Linked DNA regions of Arabidopsis thaliana. The protein of the gene in region 1 interacts with the protein of each later gene in a pairwise test. Each region holds a gene or a part of one and is shown on either strand. Other genes may lie near its edges. The genes, in order: WRKY38, AT3G57800 and AT3G22560.

Region 1 (3,759 bases):
AATTATGGTTTAGTTTGTAAATAAACGAGGTCAAATTAAATGTTGGGTTTGGTTTATAAACATATTTAGATTTTACAATTAAACGAGGTTAAATGTGAGTTTGGGATTAGAAAGAATGGTTAGAATTTATATTTTACAATTAAACAAGGTTAAAATGTCGGTTTTGAGCTTTTAAAGATGAATGAGAGTTTAGATTTTATAATTAAACGAGATTATAGATCGATTTAGGTTTACACAAAAAGTGGTTGAAATTTATATTTTATAATCAAATGAATTTTTAATTTATTTATTAGATGATAGAGTTTTATTGGCCGGAAATAAACTCTTAGGGGTGAATATAAATATTGTTCTCGGATTATCTAATCAATAACATAAATACTTAAATAGTCACAATTCTCAAATATATACAATCTCATAAAAAGGAAAACATTATTAAATAGTTTTAGCTGAAAAATCTAGTGCAATCAAAAGTAAAACTGATCATAACGATCCCACGAGTCTGGGTTGTCAAATAACAAATCAGAATTAAAGTCAGCACTTTCACTGCCAGATGACGATGAAGGAGGATAAGAGCCTGATGGTGATGATAGATATTCTTCTATAACATCTTGACAATCTTGGTCATTACTGGTTATCTCACGGTACTGATCTATAGCTTGCTCTTTGATGATATCTTCTTCATGCTTAACCGATAAGGAGAAACCGTTCGAGCGGCTTTCCTTCTCCTGATCCTGATCTTTTCCGAATCGGATCATTTGGGTACTTTTAAAGTCATCTAGGGGATCTTGTCCGGCAATAAAAATGGCATCTAGATTATGTTCGGTTTTGCAAGTGTGGTGGCCAAAGTAAGTGGTTCGGTAAACCGGAGGATTGTCTTTGATCTTTTGTTCATGCTTTCTTGCTTCGCAGTTATGATCTTTGTTGTAAGAACATCTATAGTAACTCCTGTTACCATCATCATACACCAATTAGTATGAGTGATCGGGATAGAAATAATTATGATGAAATATGATTAGCTATACTATTTCTTACCTTTGGTGATTAGATTTTTTTATACTCTTTTGACCATATTTCCTCCAAAGATACCCGTCGTAGTAAATCGGATCCGGTGAATCGTCCCTCCAATTCTCACTTGAATTTGTACTATCAATCTTTCTGCAAACATGAGTATTATCAAAATATTAGCATTAAAATCAACATATACTCCTAAGAAAAAAAATACTTATATTAAGAATTGTGGTTTCATTTGGAAAAACAAAAACAAACTCAAAAAAGAAAACAAACTCATAAGTGTATACCTTTTCTTGGAGGGGCTCCCCTGTGGAGGAGGAGAAGAATCCCTAGAAGATAAATCAGAAAACTGATCATCTTCGGTTTCTGGTTTAGCAGATAAGATTGAAATGGCATTGGAAAAACTTTCAACGATCGATTTAGCAAGATCATAACTTGAAAGCGGTCCACCATCAGCCATTGGATGGTTGAGCCGCCTCTTCAACCGCATGGCGCAGCTATGGCCATAACGGATAGCTTGCACCGCCTTTTCGTGTGGGGAGTTCATTTCCATAGAGTATAGTGAACTTGTGTGTGTGTGTATGTGTTTCTTGTTTGTTTTCTTTTTCTCAAGTCTCTTCTCTGTGCTATAAACTTTTGAACGGATAGGGAGATCAGAATTTATAGGACTAGTCGTACATACACGTTCCCAAATGACTTTGCCAATTTGGGTTTACCAAATATAATTTACATACACTAGGTTATATTTTAAGAAGCCAATGATAAATTATAATTTCGATATAGGACATGTGCTCTGCTAGACTTATATGCGTGAATCTAAATAAAGAGAGACAAAAAGATAGATTAGGTGTTGACATTAGCATATGATCTGTCATGATGTATAGGAAACAGAGTTTATTTTATATACCTTTCCCAGTACGCGGCTCACTTAATTATATACAATCTGTTTTTAATTGTTTCAGAATTTATCTGTTTCTCTTATTACACTAATCTACGCGGTTCGCTTAATAATTAAAGATTAAAAATTAAAAACTACTCCTTTCAGAACACTAAAAGGTTTCAAGATAGGAGGAATCTAATAGAAAACTGTGTTCTACAAAGTCAGATATATTAGAGAGAGATATGAGCTATGATAAACCCCAAATTAGCAATGATTTTAAAATTTTCTTTTGTAATCTTTCCATTTCAATATGTGTCGCAATTTTTTTTATTTTTTTTTTGAAAATATATAGCAGATGAAATTTAAGAATAAATTTGTTTGCTTAATTTTGTTGATTGTATATCGTTAAATATTTTTTATTTAATATTTTGATAGGTGGTTTTAATTATAATTTATACGGTAACTAATAATATAGAGTTTTGAAAATAATATATTTTACGTTCATATGACAAAAAAAAACAAATGTATGTAATAGATTGGATGTTCACAAAAAAAAAAAGTATAACATATTTTACACGTCCATCGCAATGTTTACCTCATCAAAGATGAAACGTGTACAAATAATGTTTTTTTGCTCAATATAATAAGCTTCGAACACATATGATATGATCAATTCATTTTTTTGTAATGAAAATACTCCACTAGTCGTGGATATCTTTAATGGTAAAATTATCTAATTTTTTGGTGAGTTTTGGTTCAGATTTTAAATAAAAATGTAAGTATTTAGACCAGACAAAAGATAATTATTAGGTAATAGAATAACATTAACAAGTAAGATCTAGACAATTTTTCAACGCTTAAAGAGAGAAATAATTGCGATGTAGCTGGCGAGTGGCGACTAATGCACCAATGAAAACGGCATTAGTTTCGTCGGACACTCGACGTCAGCCCCATGACGTAGTTTTTGTTGAAGGGGCTGATTCAGCAGATTGACGTCAGAACGAAGCAGCAATGTTGATTATATTATATACTAACAACAACTAGTCAACTATGCCGTGATGTGAGATTCATTCGTTGGCTACTCGGTCCATATTTTAATTTAATCTAAAATTTTAAGAATTTATAATTAATAAGCTTTGCAAAAGATAACTGGTAATCTTGAATCCTTTTTCTTTAGGTAAACTTGAATCTTATATGAAAGAAAAATTAGTAATTACATTTTAAGCGGATAAAATGATATAATATACGTACAAAAGCTTGTTTTGAATATATAGTATAATCTGAAAGCTAACCAATCCAAGTTATACAATCATATTTTAAAACTAATAGATGGTCAATCCAAAACAATTTATCCTTATCAGATTGTATACATCGATGGTATTTTCAGGCCATGAATTAACACCATTCATGAAACTATACAACAAATTACAAAGTTTGTAAAGAATGTTAAGTTCTATCTACCCATCAATTTAACAACCCTATCTTCTTCTGCGGGTGGTTAATGTAAATTGATAGATATCAACACATAAGAGATATATATATATATATATATATATATATATATATATATAAACTTTCGCACGTGACTTTGATCTGATCTGTGAAACGTTGCCCACATGTATTTTGTTCTTGTTATTAGCAAATTGTTAAATATTGTATAGGTATTAGTACTATATTGAGTAAGGGGTCACATATGTACAAGTCAAGCAAAGCTATGGGTCAAGTCACATTATTTTATGGTGCGAAAGGAAAGTGAATGTGAACATGACTTACATGACAATAATGGTGATACATTTTTTTAATAATTTTATTTATTAGCTAATTAAACCAAGTAGTTGGAACGTAGCTTCCATGTCTTCTTTAATCTG
Region 2 (3,759 bases), on another chromosome or scaffold:
AGATGCCGTAAGTATTGTGAAGATAATCCTCACAGCTTTCTCAGCAATAAAAGAAAATATATCTCTTTAATTTTTTATAAAGGTTTTATGTGTGAATATTAAAAACTTTAGTCTCATATGAGTTCGAGACTGTGCTCGGGAACAAATTTTATAAAGATAAATCATCTAAAATTGAACTGCGTTTATAATGGCAAAGACTTTGCATAATTAGAATGTTTCTTATTGATAAAGACTTTGCATGTTTCATACTCATTTTGACATCTAATTGAATAAAAACAGAAAAGAGCCGTATAGCTTCAAAATCTTTATATTTAGAATAAAGTGTATATATGTGAAAGAGTAACACATATGTACGTAGGAATTAGGTTGGTTAAAGAATTGGCCACATCAATATCTGAGACACCAAAGAAGTAATGGACGTTGGGAGAGTAAGTAACGTTGCCAAATTGGAAATGCCAAAAAAAGATTGTACCTTTCCTCTCTTTGATTGAGACTTTACTACTACACCAAACCTTACATCACCAATCGCTGAAAGTGAAACCGATATTTTAGCACATTTATATTCCACTTCTACACCTTTTTACTAAATTTCAGTTTTGAGATTTACTTACATGAAGAAGAAATTGGCTAATCAAAATAATCAAGCAACGATGATTTGTTGCAATGAAATGGAAATTGGGATTTGGGCTCAGATTATTAGAGCATAAGTGGATTTCCTGTTCGGCCCATTGTGTGAAACAGGTTATTCCACTGGACCCATCTGTTCATCTTTGTCCTCAAATTTTCCTCTCTATCCCCAAAACACCCTTTTAAAGAAGTAACATTAATTGTTTTTTTTTTTCCTTTTAATAAATTTATAAGATATTTTGAATTAATATTATTAGTACGTCTCAATTTTTATTTTATTTTTGCCTTTTATACTCTAAAGTTTTTAATACTTGATGAATTTTGAATATTTTTAAAAAATAAAAAAAATAAAATATTTTTAAAAAATTAATATTACGCTTGGTAGATTTCATCCAACGGCTGAGATAATTACTAAAATGGTGTTTTGAGCTCAATTATTTTTCCATATTAAAAAGTGTTTTTGGTTCTTGGTTATTTACAGGTCAACAAAATAATTTGACACCGGAATCGGAGTCCGTGGAAAGTCAGAAAACCTGATGTAACACCATTTATGGCATTAACTACTGATAATAATACTATACGAAAATCCAATTATTATACCGAGAAAAAAAGAAAAGTGGTCAGAGACAGCAGGCTGGTCCTGCTGAAGAATAAATCTAATCTACCGATTCGATTAAATAAATATGTGCCGTTTTCTGGTACGCCCTATTCAAATCATTTTTATATTATAGTATCAAAATACTTCAAAAATTTACTAATTACAAAATTAAGGAGTGATAAAAAAAGTTTATAATCAGAGATAAAAAGTCACCGGTTAAAGCCCAAAAGGCCCAAGTAATATCCATTGGGATCCAGCAAAATATATAACAAAAGAACCGTACCGTACCTACAATAACCAAAATTGGTTTTCTCTTTCTTTTGTCTAACAGTGGCCTTTATTTAACAGACGCACTCCACTGCTAACGTTGCTTTCGTCCTACTCTTCTTCTGGTGTAAAAGCTTTTCTTCCACACACATTTGAGAAAGAAGACGAAGAAGAAGAGAGAATAACTATTCCTTCTTCGCCAAGTTCTCTGAGCTATAGAAGAAGGAGGGATTTCTTCAGACCGCCATTGTTGCCCACCTTCTCTCCTTTCTATTTTTCGCCGCATTTTACTCGCTTACTGACAAAAGTCTTCTACTCAAGTCTCTCTCTCGCTCTCTTTGGAGGCTCAATTAGGGTTTTGTTGTCGTGAGATTTGATTACACAAATTGCTGAATTTGGTTTCGATTATTGGTGTTATTGTTTTCGAAGATTTCCAGTGAGTTTCCGTTTATGGATCTGACTGGAGGATTTGGAGCTAGATCCGGCGGTGTTGGACCGTGCCGGGAACCAATAGGCCTTGAATCGCTACATCTCGGTGACGAATTTCGGCAACTAGTGACGACTTTACCTCCCGAGAACCCCGGCGGTTCGTTCACGGCTTTGCTTGAGCTTCCACCTACACAAGCAGTGGAGCTTCTCCATTTCACTGATTCTTCGTCTTCTCAACAAGCGGCAGTGACAGGGATCGGTGGAGAGATTCCTCCGCCGCTTCACTCTTTCGGTGGGACATTGGCTTTTCCTTCTAACTCAGTTCTCATGGAGCGAGCAGCTCGTTTCTCGGTGATTGCCACTGAGCAACAAAACGGAAATATCTCCGGGGAGACTCCGACGAGCTCTGTACCTTCCAATTCAAGTGCTAATCTCGACAGAGTCAAGACGGAGCCTGCTGAGACCGATTCATCTCAGCGGTTGATTTCTGATTCAGCGATTGAGAATCAAATCCCTTGCCCTAACCAGAACAATCGAAATGGGAAGAGGAAAGATTTCGAAAAGAAGGTTAGAGTGAGAGACAAATGTTTTTACTTTTTTACATTTGATCCTTCGTTTCATCAGATTGATTTTTTATAGGGTAAAAGCTCGACGAAGAAGAACAAAAGCTCTGAAGAGAACGAGAAGCTGCCATATGTTCACGTTAGAGCTCGTCGTGGTCAAGCAACCGATAGCCATAGCTTAGCAGAACGAGTAACTTGCATCTGCCTTCACTAATTTTTCTTTTTTTTGGTATTAATCAGTTGATTAATTCGCTAATTGATCACTAATTTTTGGATTATAGGCAAGAAGAGAGAAGATAAATGCACGAATGAAGCTGTTACAGGAACTGGTCCCAGGCTGTGATAAGGTTTGTCTCTTAGATATAGACGTGTAATCAATTTGTTAATCAATCATTAGGTCTTCATTTGTGATTAACGACATTATATTTCTCTAATTGATTCACTCCAAAAGTAAGAATTTATTATTAGATGATCTAGTCTTTTTGTTAAGGGTCTTAATCCTTCACACCTACTTTTTTTTTTCTTCCTAAAAAGTGGATTGCTTAATTGCTTTTTTATTAAGAAAAGTGGTTCCTGGTGTGCCAAAGTAGCCAGTTGGGTAATTGTGTAGTAATGCCTTTAGAGATCTCAACTTTATTTTTTTATTTCGTGTGGGGAGAAATATCTCACGGGTACACACTTAGCTTTAAGGTTAACTCAGTCACACGGAAGTGATAGGACCTTGCTTTATCGAATTCTTTTTCCATAAGTGTGTTCGTTGAGCTTGAAGATTAGTCTATAAATGACGAGAATGACCTTAGGAAGTGTGCTAGCTGTAATATGCCATTAAGGTTTTGGGTTTAGGGGACAGATTTTGGTGGAAAGATCAAGATCAAAGTGTGTTTTGGGGTCCATCTTTTGATGATAAGTGGGAAAAAAGTTGCAATCTTTCTATGGAAGGTGAGGAAGGGGTAGTATCGTCTCTAACAAGTTCGGTATCTATCAAGGAAAAATAGAAAATGACTCTTAGAAGGACGATTAAAGCAAATGATCCTTTACAAAAATTGATATGCTTTGAGTCCCACATACCTAATTAGTTGGAAACATGATGTGACACTCCCCCAGACAGCTAATTAATCATCCCTGATGTTAGAAGTTAGCAGCAATTATTGGTGTGATAGAGATGATGATATGGAACATCAGTGTTTGTTTAAAATTTGGATTCTATAGGTGAGCTGTGAGGACTTGATTGATTGTTCCTTTAGCCCCCCTAGGGTATACTGATTACTTGTGATT
Region 3 (3,587 bases), on another chromosome or scaffold:
TAATAAAATAAGCATAGAGGTGGTTGAATATGAGGTTGACACATTTAAGATTTGATAGGACAAGAATTGTAAAACATATATCAATTTGATTTTGACGACACTATGCATGACTTCTGTTCAAGATGCATGCGTGCTACTTGATACTTTCTCAAAGACTTTCATTCACACACTTTTTTTTCGCATTACTTCCTGAATAATTAAATATATGGACCGACTTTTATGTTCCAAATATTAATTGTTTTCATGTATAGTGTATGATTCATCCGACTTATATAGTGCCGAATATTTTCTGTTCTGTAATTGCTGGCGCCATGCCACTATTATTATCTATTCCTAACACATAAGTATTCTTGTTTTAGTGGTTTACAAGTTCTGATTTTTCAAAAATCTGACCGTTCAATTTCAACTTGTGAAATCTATGCGACAAAGAAGAATTTTTTCTCTCTCTCTTTTTTTTTTTTTTTTTTTTGAAATAACGGGAGTATCTTAAATCAAAAAATAAACTAATTACCGTAGCTTGTAAAAGAATGGATATATTTGCCATTAACATTTCACATTCATATATAAATTTTCGTCAATATCATTATCCAATTCATGACGTTAAGATTACTACTATAGAGATTATTTTCACGAACAAGACAGAATTCAGAGAAAGAAAGATATGTGGTTGAGTCACCGTAGACACACGACACGACTTAAACTTAATTATGACATGACAAGAACATGTAGACAACCATCATTTGTTGCCGTAATCATCTTTATCTCTTCAAACCTAACGTACGTTTGATATTGTAACATTTCAGATTACGGTAAAAACCGGATATTATTTAGTTACTTTCTCCATTATTTTTACCGTTAACTATCACACAAAACAATCATCTTTAACGTAACTATAGAGAAACATGTCTCTGATGACTCCTTTGCTAAAACCATACTTCTCAAGTAAACCCTCTTTTCGAAATCCAGCTTTCTCCAAAACCCTTTGGGACGCTTTGTTCTCCACCTCCACCACCGCTTGTAGCCTCACCACCTCCGGAAAATCCTCCAAAGCTTGTTCAACCGCCATCCTCACCGCCGCTGTGGCTATCCCCCGCCCCCAAAACTCTTTAGCGACAGCGTATGCGAGGTCGGCTCGGCACCGACCATCACCGGAGTCTGGCTTGACGGATACGTAACCAATCGAATGACCGTCTTGGAGGAGAGAGATGGAACGGCGCCATGGGTGTGGTATAGCCTTGTTTAAGATGTGTTGTTTAGCTTCTTCTAAGGAGTTAACGGAGTCCCAACGGAGGTAACGTGTGACGTCATCGTCACCGGCCCATTTAAAGACGTCTTCTGCATCGGAGAGATTGAACGGCCGGAGGAAGATTCTTGGTGATTCCATGATCATGTAAAATTTTGTTAGTTTTATAAATCTCTTACTATAATCTAATAATATACACAAAAAATGCAACAAATGTAAATATTTGGAAGTGATGATTCTATTAGGATTGAAAGGCCCATTAATGATTTGGGCCTATTCTTATCGGTTAATGATGGGTCTCAGATTTAGAACTTAAATCCAAATTATAACAGAGAGTAACGCTTTTGAATTTTGATTACCTCTTATAGGCTTTTTCAAATGTAGAAAGGGATGGAGTGTAACTCCTATATACCAGGAATGAGAAAGTGAGAAAGCTGGCTCCTTAACACAATGAAGACCACATTATTGACACAACTGAAACAAAGACTCGTTCAACACAATATATTGTGACACACGCTCGGTTAGATGTCCTCCTAAACCCGTTATGCATCTCCTGCAACTCCATCACCTTACTGGTACATTTTTCAATCAATTTCCTGTAACATAAATTCACGATATATTATGGATGCATCAGATAACATAAAGACTACGTACTACGGTACTAGGATGATCTTTCTTCATACCGTTATTACACTGAATGACAAGAAAAGTGTCACCGTACCAAAACAAATTACTGGCAGACGAAGAACTTGTGTTTGGTTAACATTGATGATACCGAGATTAGAACCTCCACTCTTGAGGAATTGACAAAACAGTCAACAAAGGTATGAGCTATATTTAGTCAGGTAGCCGAAACAAGTCTAAATGGTATGTTAATGCATCAAGTTAAATGAAAACAAGGAGGTAAATCATTAAAAACACAACACATTACTTTTCATTTTGCATGCATTCGTTGAAATTTTGTGCTTCTTATATCTACTAACGTCAAGAGCTTATCTCACATTAGGTCTCAATGTTTCATAACGATAGATTATTGCTTTGTCCCATAAAATGATAAAATTCTTTTTATAATATAGGATTTTATAAAGTTGACATAAGTTATTTGTTTCCTTTTGGATATCTGTTTTGTGCATACTATATCTATGGCTCTTGAGTTTGAACCCGAAACATTTAGTTTACCATCTCCTTCCCATGTCTCAGATTTGGATTTGTGGCTTTTCTTTAGACAATTAAGATTGCCTTTTTGTGGCTTTTTAATAATCTTAAATAGAATGTACAAAGAGATGGAGTTGTAACTCCTACAAACCAGGAATGGGAAAGTGGCAAAGCTGGCTCCTTAATTTAACACAAGGAAAGGAAGACCATGTCTTTCGTTATTGACTCAACTGAAACAAAGACTCTATCAATTCAAATACTTTCGGTTACGGACAACGCCATCACCAACTGGTACACAGATTTTTCAATCAATTTCATGGACATAACATAAATTCGCGAAGAGTGAAGATTGGTGTTTATTCATAAACTAGTGTTTTTGAAATTCTTACCGTTGCCACAGGCACCATAAACGCCACAAAGCTCTGGCAGATCAAGAAGTTTTTGGGAAACAACGATACCGAAGCTAGGGCCTCCATTGTTGATGAATTGACAAAAGCAGTCAACATATGTCTTGCCTACTGTATACACCTCAGAACAACACGCGAAACTAGGAGTATGGATACGATTATCAGTTAGGTAGGGGAAACAATTCAACTGCATCTGCCCTGTCTCTTTCAAGCACTCGTCCTCGTCCGACTGAGCAGAGACGCTTGTAGAAGACATCACAACCACGAAAACTGTAAGCAACACTAAAACCACTCCTATCTTCATGTTTCCTTGATGAAATACGTGGTTGGAGAAGAATCTTTTGAGTTTTGTTATGATCTTTTCAGATTCGTTTGGTTTTTCAGAGTCTTGCTAGCTAATTGGTACTATATATAATATAATACTGTGTGTTTTGTGTTCAATTTTGTTTTATAATATGAACAATTAGCTGTTATTTTTCCTTGACTTAACCAACAGCCAACTTGTAGCCATTATTAAATAATAATTTAAATACAATACAGTTCGTATTACTATAATTTTTAATGTCAATTTTGTTTGGTTTTGGCTACAAAGTGGACATCATCTTAACCACGTCTTGTAATACATTTTTTATATTCATCAGCATCATTCTATATAACAATACAATATGTTTCGCAATGTTATTTTGTATGTTATTTGGTTTGATTAAGGAACATGAGATGATTATTGTATAATATAACGTGTTTTGTATTATTTATTTTTTTGTTTGACAAAATGAATGCTG

What was found.
Region 2: the proteins of WRKY38 (region 1) and AT3G57800 interact in a two-hybrid assay, tested with the Arabidopsis thaliana proteins (one large-scale study listed by BioGRID).
Region 3: the proteins of WRKY38 (region 1) and AT3G22560 interact in a two-hybrid assay, tested with the Arabidopsis thaliana proteins (one large-scale study listed by BioGRID).

The regions. Positions count from the first base shown.
Region 1 is NC_003076.8:7,495,144-7,498,902, forward strand, and holds WRKY38 (WRKY DNA-binding protein 38), read right to left. Parts: upstream 1,848-3,759; 5' UTR 1,565-1,847; coding exon 1,299-1,564; intron 1,156-1,298; coding exon 1,033-1,155; intron 946-1,032; coding exon 465-945; 3' UTR 312-464; downstream 1-311. UniProt on the Arabidopsis thaliana protein: Transcription factor. Interacts specifically with the W box (5'-(T)TGAC[CT]-3'), a frequently occurring elicitor-responsive cis-acting element.
Region 2 is NC_003074.8:21,409,505-21,413,263, reverse strand, and holds the start of AT3G57800 (basic helix-loop-helix (bHLH) DNA-binding superfamily protein), read left to right. Parts: upstream 1-1,651; 5' UTR 1,652-1,942; coding exon 1,943-2,488; intron 2,489-2,560; coding exon 2,561-2,674; intron 2,675-2,765; coding exon 2,766-2,831; intron 2,832-3,327; coding exon 3,328-3,423; intron 3,424-3,693; coding exon 3,694-3,738; intron 3,739-3,759.
Region 3 is NC_003074.8:7,998,053-8,001,639, forward strand, and holds AT3G22560 (Acyl-CoA N-acyltransferases (NAT) superfamily protein), read right to left. Parts: upstream 1,501-3,587; 5' UTR 1,391-1,500; coding exon 863-1,390; 3' UTR 573-862; downstream 1-572. Other genes in the region: AT3G22565 (uncharacterized protein), read left to right, coding at 1,865-2,050; AT3G22570 (Bifunctional inhibitor/lipid-transfer protein/seed storage 2S albumin superfamily protein), read right to left, coding at 2,024-2,037, 2,788-3,109.